Elephas maximus indicus: one gene and its partner. The protein of the gene in region 1 binds, or shares a complex with, the protein of each later gene. Links are inferred from orthologs where the notes say so. Each region holds a gene or a part of one and is shown on either strand. Other genes may lie near its edges.

Region 1 (7,578 bases):
AGTTAATCAAATAATCAAAACTTTTTTTTTTTTCTTCACTTGAGGGTGGGGTCAGAAAAGTGATTCAAAGCCACACTTTGGTACAATGCAATGCTCTCTGATTATGGGGTTTGGAGGCTTAGCCACAGGTGGGGGGGAGGAGAACTATCTCCAAGCTGTTGCTCACCATTACTTTGTCAGAATAATAATATCACGATTACTTGGACAGAATAATAATACCATTTTTAGAGTGTCTTCTCCTACACTGGAAACCCTGGTGGCGTAGTGGTTAAGTGCTACAGCTGCTAACCCAAGGGTCAGCAGTTCAAATCCGCCAGGCACCCCTTGGAAACTCTACAGGGCAGTTCTACTCTGTCCTATAAGGTCTCTATGACTCGGGATCGACTCGACGGCACTGGGTTTGGTTTTTGGTTTGGTTTCTCCTACACTGCAGTTCTACATGCGCAAAACCCAAATCTCCTCTTATAGATGGAGAGACAAAACAGTTATTGGAGGTAGCATGGCACTGTGTTTTATCTAGGATGTTACTGGTACTGTGATGGGCAGGAACCACATTCAACTTTCTCTGTCAGCTGAAGAAAAAAATCTAGCATGCCAAATGCACCTCTGCTCAATGAACACTGCAACAACTCTCACTTGCAGTGCAATGGGGTGGCAGTGACACGGATTCCCTCAAGTGAACAAAAAACGCCACTAGAGCAAAAGGAGAAACAAATTTAGAGTGCTGAAGGTTACAAAAGACGTGATCAATTAGAAACTGTAATACTGTCTTCTACATTCTCTTAAAGAGCAAGCCATATGAATGCTGTTGTTAAAATTAACAAAATTCAATTTAGCCAAAACACTAGACTGTTTGGATTACTACAAATTCACCTGCCGAGATGAGAAATAACTCTTCTTTCCAAAAGCCTCAAGTTCTATGGACAACTTGTCCACAACCGAATTCCTAGCAATGATCACTCACCATCTGAAAATTCCTTAAGGATCAGAATCATGACAGATACTCAAAACATTCAATGAATGAATGAAAAAGTGCCCAAACGCTATTTAAGGGCACAGTACTTATTACTCAAATATATCAGGCTGAGTAGCAAGGTAAAACGAGATAAACTGGAACACGACGGGGTTGTGAGTTCCAAGCTTTAGCTTGGGTAATATTCTCAGGAGGTATTAGAAATATTCACAACTCACTCAAACCTAAATAAACCTTCCAAAGTTTGAAGAGGGAAACAGACTAACAGGAGACTTTATTAATCCATGGATGAGAAGTCATGTGGCTAATCAGCTGCTTAAGTCACAAGGAAGAGACAAGAGCCTGTTCTTTCAGAATCCAAAGAGTATTTTCAACAGGGAAGAACCAGCTGGCTGTACACCCGCATCTCTGCTAAAGGTGGTAAGAAAGGTTCACATGGCAGGCTTGCCAAGCCTAATCAATTGACAAAAAATTCAGGTAACAAAATTTTTCAAACCCCGATTAAGCACTTTGTCAGAATTCAAGAGCTCCTAATATACTGACACTACACTACAATAATATCCATTAAAGGTCACAACTACAAATGGAATGACTTTTGGCTTTAAATAGAACAAATGCCACTTCAGGAGGCTTTAAAATGACATTATTAGAAAGAAAAGGAGAGAGAGGAAGATACCAGGTAGCACAAGAGAAATCACAAGCTTCAGGAGCACCTGAAAGCAGTGCAACCTAGACATCTAGTGCAGTACTCCAGAGTCTGAATCCTTGGGTTTGAATCTCAGCTCCATAACTTATTAGCTATGTGATCTTGGACAAGTGACTTAACTTCTGTGTTCCTCGATTTCCCTATCCACAAGTGGGCACGATAATCGTACTTCAAAAGGCTGTTCTGAAAATTAAACAACCTGTGTAAAAGGTCTTGGCACGGTGCCCAGCAAGCATACAGTAAGCGCTCAAATGTTTCCTATTATTGTTCTCTATATTCCCATTTTAAGAACCATTATGTATCAAGTGGAAACCCTGGCGGTGTAGTGGTTAAGCGCTACAGCTGCTAACCAAGAGGTCGGCAGTTCGATTCCACCAGGCGCTTCTTGGAAACCGTACGGGGCAGTTCTACTCTGTCCGATAGGGTCGCTATGAGTCGGAATCGAGTCGATGGCAACCGGTATGTATCAAGTCTGAACTAAACACACATAGCTTTACAGCCATTCATCATCTTTCCCCCAATAAGTCTGAAAACTTCGTTCAAGATTTACCATAACATGCTTACGACAAAAATCTCCCAGCGCCAGAAGCGTCTCACATGTACACAAGCCTCCGAGGTGAGCCCCGCGCACGTGACCTGACTCACTGCCTTAACTCAGCTGCCATCGGGGACCCTCCCCCAAGGCCGAATCAGGCTGTTCAACCGAAGACACAGATGCCAAAGTAGCTGAGCACTAGGCGCGATCGGCTGGGGGGCGCCTGGACCACCGTCCCCTCCACACGGCTGCTGGAGGGCCGGCTCCGACACCCTTCCGCTCGCCGCTGCAAGGAACTCAAGCGGCTAGAGCATCCCGCCGCGGGCGCACAGGCCCCGTGCCCAGTGGGTCTCCGGTCTTGACACCACTAGTAAACAAGGCGTCCGTGACGGCAGTCTCAGCGCCGGCAACCTGGCCAGAGGTCACACCCGGCAACCTCTGACCTCTTCCCGACCGGGCGCGGTCCGGGCCTGCTCCTGGGGCTGAACAACGCGCGGCTTCCCCGCGAGGATCGGGCTGAGCGCGGAGCCTTCCCCGAGACGGGATCGATGCGAGGCCCTGGGTACCGAGGGGCTGAGGAGGGGGATGGGACAAGGCCACCGGCCAGGCAGGGCCGGCTGCTTACCGCGGCCGCTCCGCTGGAGGCTCCGGGCCGGGCGCGTTGAGAGAGCTCTTGCCGAGGAGAGGCGAAAATGTACGGGGGCAGAGAAGAAGTCCAAATGCCGGTTCCAGCGGACCCCTCCGCCCTTTTCAAGCCTCCAACACCACCGCTGCCGCCGCCTCGGGCTTTATGGCCAAGACTTCGGCCCCGCTCCCACTTCCGCCACCGCCGCCGCCCCGAGCGGAAGTACCTGTCACAAGACAATCGACGCCGAGGAGTGCGGAGGTGGGACGCCGCCTCAACCTTGCGTCAGGTTCCGGCCGCCTCTGGCCTGGGCCTGGATCTTGTAGTCCGAACATGTCTGCCCCCATAGGACGTCGCCATCTTTGAGACTCGGTCAGGGACCAGGACGGCGCCATGTTGGACCCACAAATCGATTCCTCAGCCGCCTCCTGTCTTCCCTGAATAACGAATACCGGGAGAGAGAGGATGAGGTAAGCTTGCCTCTGCCATAGTGTCTGTCTCCAAGAGGACTGATCAGGCAACCAAGTAGTCCTACCATGTACGCTAAGCAATTCAGGATCTACAGAGCTTGTCCTAAGAATGGATTTGCCCAGGGAGAAATCTCTGTCGTGAGACACAACTAAATCCCATTGTGGTGGAGTCTATTCGGACTTATCGCGGCCCTAAAGGACACAGCAGGACTGCCCTATAGGGTTTCCAAGGCAGTAATCTTTATGGAACCTGATTGCCACATTTTTCTCCCAAGGAGCAGCTGGTAGGTTCAAACCAGGTCTTCCAACTGGTTCCTTCTGGTTCAGACCCCTGCTGAGAATTTGCAGGTCCACCCCAGATATCTAGAATCAGAATCTACTGTCTAACACAATCTCCAGGTGATTTTTATGTATAATAAAATTCGAGAACCTGCACTACTGGTGGTTCTCAGCATTGGTCCCTAAACAGCATCATTAGGATGGCCTAGGAACGTGTTACAAATTCCAATTCTCAACAGGGGTTTGAACCAGAACAAACCAGTTCGAATCCCTGGTTCAAATCGCCAACTTTTCAGTTAGCAGATCTTTGAGTTAGCAGCCCAGTGCTTAACCACTGTGCCACCCAGGGCTCCTTAGTGAGAAACACCCACCCACTGCCGTGGAGTAGATTCCAACTCATAGTGACCCCATAGGGCTTCCAAGACTAAATCACTGCGTAAGCAGGCAGCCACATCTTTCTCCCACAGAGTTGCTGGTGGTTTCGAACCACCAACCTATTGGTTAGCAGTTGAATGCTTTAACCGCTGTGCCACCAGGGCACCTTTTTGTGAGAGACAAGGCAAAACCCGTTGCTGTCCAGTCGATTCCAACTCATAGCGACCCTATAGGATAGAGTAGGACTGGCCCATAGGGCTTCCAAGGAGCAGCTGGTGGATTCAAACTGCGACCTTTTGGTTAGCAACCAAGCTCTTGCAGGGGTTATTTTATAAACTAATAGAGGAGTGGAGAAGGTCTGTATTTACTGTGCACCGTACTAGACTGTTGGGTAGACTCCAAGAGTCATTATTTTAATCTTACAGGAAGGCTGTTATTACCACCATTTTGCAAATAGAGAACTGAGAAGAACTGAAGAACTTAGAAAGTCACTTTACCTAGCCCACACAGCAAGTGGCACAGCCAGGATTGTGAGCCACGGTCTCATGACAATGTGTGTGATCTTCCTAATGGACTGCAAATAACTGCACCCATTATGTAGCTGGATGATAGAAACATGAAGATGAGTTAGACATTTCCAAAACACAGAGGAGATAGCCCAAGAAAATTGAAAAAGAACTCAAGTTTCTCTGAATTTAGTGTTAAAAGCGAGGCAAAGATGGACCCTGCAGAACTCTTAGAATGCACCCCACCCTTCCAAGCCCCAACCTCATACAAACACAATTAAGAGCCACTTAGAACTTTATCTTCAACAACATACTCTTGTCATAGTCTTTACTATCTCGGCTCATGCAAATGCCATTCTTTCCTGTTACTCAGTCTGAAAACCTTGGAATCATTCTTGACTCCTGTTGTGAGTTGAATGGTCTCGTCTCTAACTATTTAGAGATTTCTCCCTGGGCGAGCCCCAAAAAGATATGTTCACATCCTGTAACCTGTGAATGTGACTTTATTTGGATAAAGAGACTTTGTAGATGTAATTAAGGATCTCAAAATGAGATTACCCTGAGTTATCCAAGTAGGTCCTAAATCCAATTACAAGTGTCCTTATGAGAGACACAGAGTCAAAACACAAAAATCAGTGAGGTTTCTATACAGCAACAATGAGCAAGCTGAAAAGGAAATTAAGGAAACATTACCATTTACAATAAGAATAAGTACCTAGGAATAAACTTAACCTGAAAGGTGAAAGACTTCTATGCAAAAAATTATAAAACATTGCTAAAATAAATTAAAGAAGACCTAAATAAATAAAAAGACATTCCATGTTCATGGATTAAAACAAAACAAAAAAACAAACCCATCACCACGAGTTGATTCTAACTCATAGTAACCCTATAAGACAGAGTAGACCTTCCCCATAAGATTTCCAAGAAGTGGCTGGTGAATTCAAACTACCAACCTTTTCGGTTATCAGCCAAAGCTCCTGACCACTGCACCACCAGAAGGTTTAATATAGTTAAGACGTCAGTATTACCCAAAGCAATCTATAAATTCAATGCAATCCTCATCAAAATTCCAACAGCCTTCTTTGCAGAAATGGAAAGCCAGTTCTCAAATTTATATGGAAGGGCAGAGGATCTCAAACAGCTAAAGCAACCTTGAAGAAGAATAAAATATGAGGACTTACACTTTCTGATTTCAAAACATACTTGCAGTGGGATGGATCATTTTATATGGCCTGTCTCATTATGGTCTCAGGAAACCCTGGTAGTGTAGTGGTTAAGTGCCACAGCTGCTAACCAAGAGGTTGGCAGTTTGAATCCTCCAGGCACTCCTTGGAAACTCTATCAGGCAGTTCTACTCTGTCCTATAGGGTCGCTATGAGTCAGAATTGACTCGACCGCAGTGGGTTTTTGGTTTTTCACTATCGTCTGATAATTTACTTGGTAAGTTATGCAAATAAGGACATTGTGGCCCACCATAGAGGACTGGTCAGTTTTGCCATCCTGCTAGGCTAAAAACAAGCCATCCCAGAGGTGGGAGGAGAGGATCTAACCACCAACAGGAAAGAAGAGCCAGGAGTGGTGAGCATCCTTTGGACCCAGTATCCCTACACTGAGAAGCTCCTGAAACCAGGAGACTGAGAAAGACACGGCTATAACACGGACGATGGTGAGAAGCGGTGTCAGAGGAACGGCAGCAGGAAAGAGCAGCAGGAGATGGCACAGTGGGCCTCCTGGCCCATGGAGCAAAAAAGCTGCGCACCTTCAGGCTGAGGCTTACTGGCGGAGTGGGGTGCCTTGGAGCACTTATCAACAGAGCTAAAAGAGTTTTGTTTAGCACTTGCCTTAGCAGAGGCTGAGGGGCCAGAGAGAAAGAAGCGTGCCTGCGGGCATGGCTGAGAAGAGGCTGTCCTGATGGGAGAACTGCATTCTGAGCATTCCTGAACCTGAGTTGTAACCTGTTACTTCCCTATAAGCCCCATAACTGTGAGTATGGTCTGTGTGTTCTGTGTGGCTGTTGCAATAAATTATTGAACTCAGCAGAGAAGTGGAGAATGCCATGGGAGGGGCAGTTGGTGTCGGAATTGGTAAAGATGGCAGAGAGAGGAGGCATGTCTGACCTCTCCCTCAAAGGAATTAGCCTCGGGCTGTTGATCTTGATCCTCCTTCCCTCTAGTGAAGTTGTTATTAGGTGCTGTCGAGTCGATTCTGACTCATAGCGACCCTGTGCACGACAGAACGAGATACTGCCCGGTCCTGCGCCATCCTTAGAATCGTTGTTATGCTTGAGCTCATTGTTGCAGCCGCTGTGTCAATCCACCTAGTTGAGGGTCTTCCTCTTCTCTGCTGACCCTGTATTTTGCAAAGCATGATGTCCTTCTCCAGGGACTGATCCTTCCTGACAATATGTCCAAAGTCTGTAAGGCGCAGTCTTACCATCCTTGCTTCTAAGTAGCATTCTGGTTGTACTTCTTCCAAAACAGATTTGTTCGTTGGCAGTCCATGGTATATTCAGTATTCTTCGCCGACACCACAATTCAAAGGTGTCAGTTCTTCGGTCTTCCTTATTCATTATCCAGCTTTCACATACACATGATGTGATTGAAAATACTATGGCTTGGGTCAGGCGTACCTTAGTCTTCAAGGTGACATCTTTGCTTTTCAACACTGTGAAGAGGTCCTTTGCAGCAGATTTACCCAATGCAATGCATCGTTTGGTTTCTTGACTACAGCTACCATGGGTGTTGATTGTGGATCCAAGTAAAATGAAATCCTTGACAACTTCAATCTTTTCTCCGTTTATCATGATGTTGCTCATTTGTCCAGTTGTGAGGATTTTTGTTTTCTTCATGTTGAGGTGCAATCCATACTGAAGGCTGTGGTCTTTGATCTTCATTAGTAAGTGCTTCAAGTCCTCTTTGCTTTCAGCAAGCAAGGTTGTGTCATCTGCATTTTGTTAATGAGTCTTCCTCCAATCCTGATGCCCCATTCTTCATACAGTCCAGCTTCTCGAGTTATTTGCTCAGCATACAGATTGAATAGGTATGGTGAATGGATACAGCCCTGAAGCATACCTTTCCTGACTTGTGAAGTTAGAGGAGGTCAAACA
Region 2 (7,629 bases), on another chromosome or scaffold:
AACCAAAAAATGCACGCAGAGAAGCGCTGTGAACAGGTTTCTTCAGCAGAATGTATGGCAAGCAGGGCACGTGGGAGGAGTCCTGGATCCAGAGAGAAGGGTAGTAGGCTCAGCAGGGCAGGCTGGATGGTAGGCTCGGGGGGCAACCAAGCCAGGTAAGTAGGCTCAGGGGGTGACCAGGCCAGGTAAGTAGGCTCAGGGGGCGACCAGGACAGATCTGCAGGCTCAGGGGGCGACCAGGCCAGAGCAGCAGGCTCAGGGGGTGACCAGGCCAGAGCTGCAGGCTCAGGGGGTGACCAGGCCAGAGCTGCAGGCTCAGGGGGTGACCAGGCCAGAGCTGCAGGCTCAGGGGGTGACCAGGCCAGAGCAGCAGGCTCAGGGGGTGACCAGGCCACAGCTGCAGGCTCAGGGGGTGACCAGGCCAGAGCAGCAGGCTCAGGGGGTGACCAGGCCAGAGCAGCAGGCTCAGGGGGTGACCAGGCCAGAGCAGCAGGCTCAGGGGGTGACCAGGCCAGAGCTGCAGGCTCAGGGGGTGACCAGACCAGACCAGCAGGCTTAGGGGGTAACCAAGCTGGGGTGACAGGTTCAGGCTGAATGACAGACTCGGAGGGTTACCAGTCTAGGTCAGTAGGCTCAGCAGAACCAGGGAGGGAGAAAGGGCTGGCTCATTGGGGATAAAACCAAAAACCAAACCCACTGCCATCCAGTCAATTCTGACTCATAGCAACCCTATAGGACACAGTAGAACTGCCCCACAGGGTCTCCAAAGATATAAATATTTATGGAATCAGAGTGCCACATCTTTCTCCTGAGGAGCTCAAGGAGCAGTTGGTGGGTTTTAACTGCAGAGCTTTTGGTTAGCAGCCAAGAGCTTTAACAACTGCACCATCAGGGCTCCTTCCGGTGGGGACAGAGGGTAGGGATTTACCTGCTCTCTGCTTCCTCTGGGGTCCCTAACATCTTTGCCTTGATCTTCTTCCGTTGCTTCCGGACAGCCACCTTCATGGCTTCCAGCAGAAGCTCTGGCACCCGCTGGTCTGAGAGCAACTCCCTAGAGGGGAGGGAGAGGGGCAGGGCAAAGCAATGAGGATGGACATGCCAACAACAGGCCTCACGCCAAGCACCTGTGCATTTTGTTTCCCCTTTTTGAAACACTCTGACTTGCTAACCCCCCTCAGACCTTAGCTGAGGTGGCACCCCTCCTAGGAACACCACCCTGGCTGCTGCTGCTGTGGCTCCCGTGACCTTCTGCACTGTCCCCTCCCCAGTTTGGATGAAGCTTCCTTGACTCATGTCTTCCCAGTGGATAATCAATGAGCTGAAGAATGAAGCAGGGTGACCAGAGGCCCAGGAACAGATGTGAGTGGAGCCCCCTCGGCGCCCCAGCGCCTGCCCAGCTCCCTCACCGCTGGAAGTAGGCCAACTCCTCCTTCAGCAGGAACACGTTGGCTTTGAGCTCATTCCGCTCCTGCAGGATCTGCTCAAGCTCCTCTCTACTGAAGCTGCACTGGCCTACCTCCAGGGGACGCTTTGGCTGCTGCGCGACATCCGCCTGCACATGGACAGGTTTGGTTAGGGGGCCACCACAGCCAGCACAGGGCGATCACAAAAACACTACGAAGTGACTGGCAGGGAGACTTGGGGGGCGAAGGTGCTACAACAGATGACAGACCAATGCTGGGAGTGAGGGCAGAGGCCGGTTGGGGGCGCAAACTTGTGTGCCACCTTCCTACTTCTGGATGGATCGGCCATGCAGCACAGCACACCTTTCCTCAGTGCTAGCCAGTGTCGGGCGCTGTGAGTAGGTACTCGAGTGGGTCCCTGCCCTCATCAGGCACTCACTGGGTCCTCAGGAGTCCCCGGGGCTCCTGCCCCAGCAGTTGCCCGCTCGGGCTTCTGCCTCTGCTCGCACCCGGGCCCCTGGGCCTGGCCCAGCGGTTGCTCTTGCGCCAGCCCCGGGGACACTTCGCGCTGCAGCTCCCTCTCCCTCTCACGGTCTCGCACCACGCACAGCTGGGTCTGCACAGCCGCCAGCTTGTGCCGCAGCTCAGCGTTCACCAGCAGGAGGCGCTGCAGCTGTTCCTGCAACTGCGGGGCGGGGGGAGGGGTCAAGAGGTGGCGGCTGGTGGGCGGGGCGCCAGGGCTGGGAGAGCCCGCCGCTCGCCCGTCGCCCTGCCCTCACCGCCTCAGTTTCCTGGCTGCGCTGTAGCAAGTCGCGACTGTGCGCCCGAAGTTCGTCCCGCTGCCTGTCGGTCACCTCCTTGAGCTGCCGCAGCAGAGCGCGTTCCTCTGGGGAAGCGGGCATTCTTAGCGGCGGCCGGTCGGAGAGAGGCCCTAGACTGGCCCCCAGTCCCCCCTTGTCCTGGCGGAGGCCTGCACTCACCCTGCGGCCCACAGCGCAGCTCCCTGCGGAGGTGCTCGTTCTCCTCCCGCAGCCGCCGGAGCTCCTGTTCGGCCTGCTGCGCCGAGACCTGCAGCTGGGGAGTCCAGGGCTCAGGGTCAGACCGCTGCCCGCTCGCGGGTGGCGAGAGGTGGGGCAGTGACTCACCGAGTCTGGGGCGGGCCCCACCGCGGCCTTTTCCAGGAGCTCCAGGGCCCGCACTACCAGCGGCACCAGCCCGGTTGCCGCGTCTGGCCCGAAGCGGCGCGCCAGCTCTTGCAGCTCAGTGCCCAGAGCCCCCGCTAGATGGTACACGAGCTCCGCGGCCGACTCCGACCCCGCGGCCACTCGAGACCCCCAGCCATGCTCCCCAGGTGCCGCCTTCTGGGGCTCCATGTACCCCGAAGGCCAAGGGCTTCGCCCGCTTCCCCCCAACTGGGGCAGGAAAAACCAGTTCCGGCCCAGGAAGCGGTTTTGGGCTGTAGTGGGAGGGGGAGAAGCAGCGGGGGAGGAGCAATTAAGCCTAAGATCGTGGAGAAGGGAGGCAGTGCCCTAGGCCCCCTCGACCCTGTCCATTTCAACCCAAGGTCACAGGAAACAGGACAGTGAACTTCCACCCAGGCGTCCAAGAGCTGAAACTCAGGGCTGCAAGTGGTCACTTCAGTGGAGCCCTCCCCACAGGGCCCAGGCCAGGCTCCACCCCTGAGTCCAGAGTCATGGGCCTGACTTGGCTGCCAAGTACTCCAGCCAAGAGGTGAGGTAGGGCTGTCACTGGCCACCCAAACTGGCCACCTGTGTGCCTGTTTCTACAACTAGGAGTGTCACAGAGAGCTGAAGGAGCTAGGCTGAGCATCATAGCTGCAGCCTGCACCAAGCCACAGAGCTCCCAGGCTCAAAACACAGAAAGCAACTGCTCAAAGAGATGCTGAAAACAGGCTGATGGTTTGGAAGTATTTTGGAGGGAAACTAGCAAATGTGGTTAGGGTAGCAGGAGTGTGAAAGCCAAGCCCACCTCAGTTCACTGAATCTAGAGGTTATCTAGCCCCACAGCCCTGACTAAAGGGCCTCTGGCCCCCAAGGCTGAGCCCATCATCTGGCTGTGAACAAGGGCCACAGCCCAGCCTCCCACGACCCCTACATGCAGAATTTTGAGCTCAGAAAAAAAAAGACTCCTATTTATACAAAATTTATTGTTACACTTTGTTCAGAATTACAAGTCACCAAGAGGTCAACAACACAAAAACAAGCACAAAATAGAGAAGGGGGCCAAGCTGCTGAATGTCACCAGCTGTCTGTGGGGGTTAAAAAGCTCCAGCTTCTGGGGAGTCTGAAGCAGGAGGTGAGGCAACAACTAGGCATAGAGGTCCTCCCGGTCCGCAGAGTAGACCTCACCCTCCTGCAGAAGGGCAAAGTTGAGGAAGTGCGAGGGTCTGTGCACCTCGTGGTAAAACTCCTTGGGGTTTGCCAGCTGCAGCTCATACTTCATGTTGGGATCATGCCGTACACCTTGGGGTCGAAGGAAACATCCAATGTTAACAAGCGGTCCACCTGCCTCACCCAGCCTGGGCCCCTGGGCCATCTCCAAGCCAGAGCCAGGCCCCAAGTTTTAAGGATGATGACCATAAACCCATCCCCGCTCCCTGTGCTCCCTACAAACATGCTGGCCCCTACTCACCCATAAAGTTGTAGTTCCATGAGGACTGGGCAGGGACCATGAAGAAGCCAAGGAAGCGGTCCGACAACAGCATCTGGACCCTCTCATAGTGCGAGGGCAGGTAACCCTTGGGGTTGTTGCCCTTGTCTGTGTTTTGGCGGCCCCATTCATAGCCACTAGGGGTCAGCTTGTAGGCTGTGAGGGTGCAGGAACCTGGTGTGAAGCTGGGGGAAGGATGACAGAGTCAGAGCTCAGGCCAGGCCCACAATGCCTGCACCACCACACTTCCTCCCAAGCCCACCTGCAAGTGATAATAATGGTCTTCTCGCCATCCCAAGATGGGTTGTCAGCCATGATCTTGGCATGGGTAGTGACATCCTGGGGTGACAGCTGGGGGGACTCATTGGGCTGAGTGTGGATCCACCCTAAGGGCTCCATCTCCTATAGGCCAAGAGCAGTAAAAAGAAGTTTAGAATCCCATCTGCAGACAAGAATTTCCATCCATGAGTAACATGCCTGCCTTCCCTCCACCCCCCTGATTAACAAAAAGCCCCAGTTCTCTGACCCCAAGCTCCGTCACCTCTTACCCCAAGCTCCGTCACCTCTTACCTTGAGGTATTCATGCTGGGGCAGCTGGCCCGGCAGGTGCACAGTCTGGTGAGTGCCCCACTGTGGAACCATCACGATGCAGCGGATCTCCTTCACCTGAGGGTTATCTGGTGGGCTCACCCCATACAGGTACCCTGCAATCTGGAGACAAGAGGGCCAGGGCCAAACTAAGTACCAGCCCAGAGTCTTGATGCTGACCATCAGCTCTGTGCTTCATTCCCTCCCTCAAGAACAAGGACAGAGTTTCTCAGAATGTGGACAGAACCTTCTGTAGCAGTCGCCTGGGTGCTTGTTAAAATGTCAAACACAGACCTCATCTCAGGCTTACCACATCTGAACCCCGAGTGGGGTCCACAGCTCCCCAGATTACCGCAGTACACGCGAAGAAACAAGCACACAAGCATACAGCTCAGTGTCTTCGCACAAGCCGAACACATCTGCGCACCCAGCACCAGGTGGTGTTTTCACTTCATACCGCCACCAACAAAGCAAGTACTTGCTTCCTATAACCTCACCACACAGGGCGTTAACAATCTTCGAATTCACCAACCTAGCAGCCACAAAACGGTGTTTTATAAAAATACAAATTTCCCGATTACTAGTAAAGTTGAACATCTTTCCACATTGTATTTGCCATTTGTTGTTCCTTTTCTGAACTACCTTTCCATATTCTTTGCCCATTCTTCTAGTTATCTTTCTTTTACCAACTTCAAAGAATTCTCTATTCAAGATGCTATGCCATTATCTCTTAGTTATGCAAATATTTTCTTTCCATTTCCTAGTTTGTCTTTCGTAGTACTCTTTGTCACACTTATTAATTACAATTATGGTTATGTGTTTTCTGCCTTGTTTAAGAAGGCCATGCCAACACTAAACCAATAAAAACCACTAAGGTCATAAATATTTTCTTCTAATACCCTACAGTTTAGTAGTTTACACTGAGATCTTTACTCCTAGATTTTATTGAGTAGTGTGAGGCAGAGATCTAGCCTCCTTTTTCCAACTGTTTTAATATCACATCCTTAATCCCCCAGACTTGATACACCACATTTATATACATACACACACACGCACATATATATATACATATGAATCTGTTTCTGACTATGTACTATTCTCTTTCAATAACTTCTAGGCCACTACTGTAATCTCTTAATTACCATAGCTTTATAGTATGTTTTGATATTTGACAGGACCAAAAACTCTCCTGTTTTGCCTAACCTTGTATATTTACTCTTCCATGTATTTTGAAACCAGCATCTCAAGTGAGTTTTGGGCACATCAAGTGTTGGGTATACAGTGTGGCAAGTTAACCACATTCACTCACTTGTGCCCGAAGGTCAGATATGCAGATGAACTTCTTAAGCACGTTCTTGGGAAGGATGTAGGTGTAACCGGTCTCCTTGATGTCATCAGACGAAACATATATGTGATTGGTCCTTAGGTGCAGGTTGGCAGCAGAGATGGCCCTGAACACAAGCAGAGGATGTCAGCACTCCTCAGCTTGAGCATCCTAAGCACCACCAGGATCCCATTCCTTCCCTACCCCTCCTGCCCTTTTCAGTACCTGACCCTCCATTCAGTCTTAGATGAGAAGGTCTGGGTCTCATAATTGCTGGTGGTGGAGGTGATGATCTCGTCACCGTGCTTGTTGACAGTGCGCGTCTGTGTTGCAGTCAGCTGTGACTGTTCCTTGGTCTGCTTCTCGATCTCAGCTATCTGCTGCCGCTGTTGTGATGGTGCTGAGATCTCCATCCCCAGGATGATGTCTCGAATTTCTGATTGTGTCAGCGATGCCACATTCACACTGTGGGGACAGCGTGGGTCGCACCACAAGGATCCCTTCCCCCCTTGGGATCCCTTGGTCACTTCTACCTCAATGGCAAGGGTTTACCTTGCCCCAGACAATCCTGAAGAGATACTTGTGAAGGAGGAAGTAGAAGCGGAGATGTACTGATCTAGGGCTCCTCATACCCCGGGCAGGGGCCACTGTGCATGTGTACCTCTCAGCTCGGCTCAAAGCTGCTCAGCATCCTCCCTCCCACTTCTCCTGCACACAGAGGTGCCCTGGCACAGGACGATTCTCAAAAACACTGGTTCTCAATCACAGTTGACACTGTCACCCTAGGGGTACTTGGAAATGTACAGTCATATTTGGTTGCCACAATGACAGGGAGGTTGTGGAGGGAAGGAAGGGTGCGTGTGCACACTATGAGCTGTGGTACCCGGGGGTCTGGAATGTTAAAACTTCCTGGCATGTATGGACTGTAAAAAGATGCCCTGCTCAAAATAGGAACAATGCCTCTACTGAGAAACAACGCCGGAGAATCATACTGAAGGCCTGCAACACAGACATCTCCTACACTGTCTACCTCTTTTCTGTACGCATCTCTTAAGCATTTCTTGAAAAACTTCTGAGCCTAAATGTTTTTTAAAAACCCCAGAAACCACCTACTGAGCCAGCTGCTTCGCCCTTCTGGATCTCCCATATGTCTCCCCGGCACCCCTGCTCACTTGTTTTTCTTGCCATAGTCAGCCAAAATCAGGTCCTTGAGCTGCACCTCCACCTTGATCCATTCCTCATCAGTGAGAGTGGGCCAAATGTGATGCGGTTCTGTAATAGTGGTCTTGTCTGGCTTCAGGATCACCTTTGCCCGGTCATTGTTCACATGTAGGGCACGCAGAATCAGGATGAGACGGGAGAAAGCCTGGGAAGAAATGTGCTGGACTGGATAGAAGTCAGCCACTTAAGGCTCTACCCCATCCCCTTCTTTATCCTATCCTTCCTGGGGACCCAAGAATTGATTTCAAGCTGTAAGACTCAACCACCCCCCATGAATGAGTCAACCTCCTATGCAGAGCACAGTCTCTCTTCCCATCTGCAGGGTGAAGATGTGAAAATGGCCTCATTAAGGGGCTCCTGGGAAAAGCTAAGACACAGAGTCTTCTCCTGACTCCACACCCAGTCCTCCTAGAGTGACCCTCT

The links.
Region 2: the proteins of RAB7A (region 1) and RILP are in contact, whole or in part, in a crystal structure (PDB 1YHN), measured with the Homo sapiens proteins. The link is inferred for Elephas maximus indicus from reciprocal best matches to the Homo sapiens genes RAB7A and RILP. Residues at the interface, in NP_004628.4 of Homo sapiens: Ser3, Lys6, Leu8, Ile41, Gly42, Ala43, Asp44, Phe45, Leu46, Thr47, Thr58, Trp62, Ser72, Leu73, Val75, Leu182, Tyr183, Asn184, Glu185; in NP_113618.2 of Homo sapiens: Phe248, Glu249, Leu252, Gln253, Arg255, Asn256, Lys259, Ala260, Phe263, Leu264, Glu267, Glu268, Tyr271, Arg274, Glu275.

Annotation. Positions count from the first base shown.
Region 1 is NC_064838.1:41,759,391-41,766,968, forward strand, and holds the start of RAB7A (ras-related protein Rab-7a), read right to left. Parts: upstream 3,033-7,578; 5' UTR 2,840-3,032; intron 1-2,839.
Region 2 is NC_064837.1:20,053,743-20,061,371, reverse strand, and holds the start of RILP (rab-interacting lysosomal protein), read right to left. Parts: upstream 3,021-7,629; 5' UTR 2,777-3,020; coding exon 2,549-2,776; intron 2,478-2,548; coding exon 2,384-2,477; intron 2,290-2,383; coding exon 2,183-2,289; intron 2,089-2,182; coding exon 1,843-2,088; intron 1,553-1,842; coding exon 1,407-1,552; intron 1,052-1,406; coding exon 929-1,051; intron 83-928; coding exon of another isoform or gene 43-82; exon of another isoform or gene 1-42. Other genes in the region: PRPF8 (pre-mRNA-processing-splicing factor 8), read right to left, coding at 3,732-3,886, 4,056-4,258, 4,336-4,475, 4,644-4,784, 5,971-6,112, 6,211-6,450, 7,158-7,351. UniProt on the Homo sapiens protein: Rab effector playing a role in late endocytic transport to degradative compartments. Involved in the regulation of lysosomal morphology and distribution.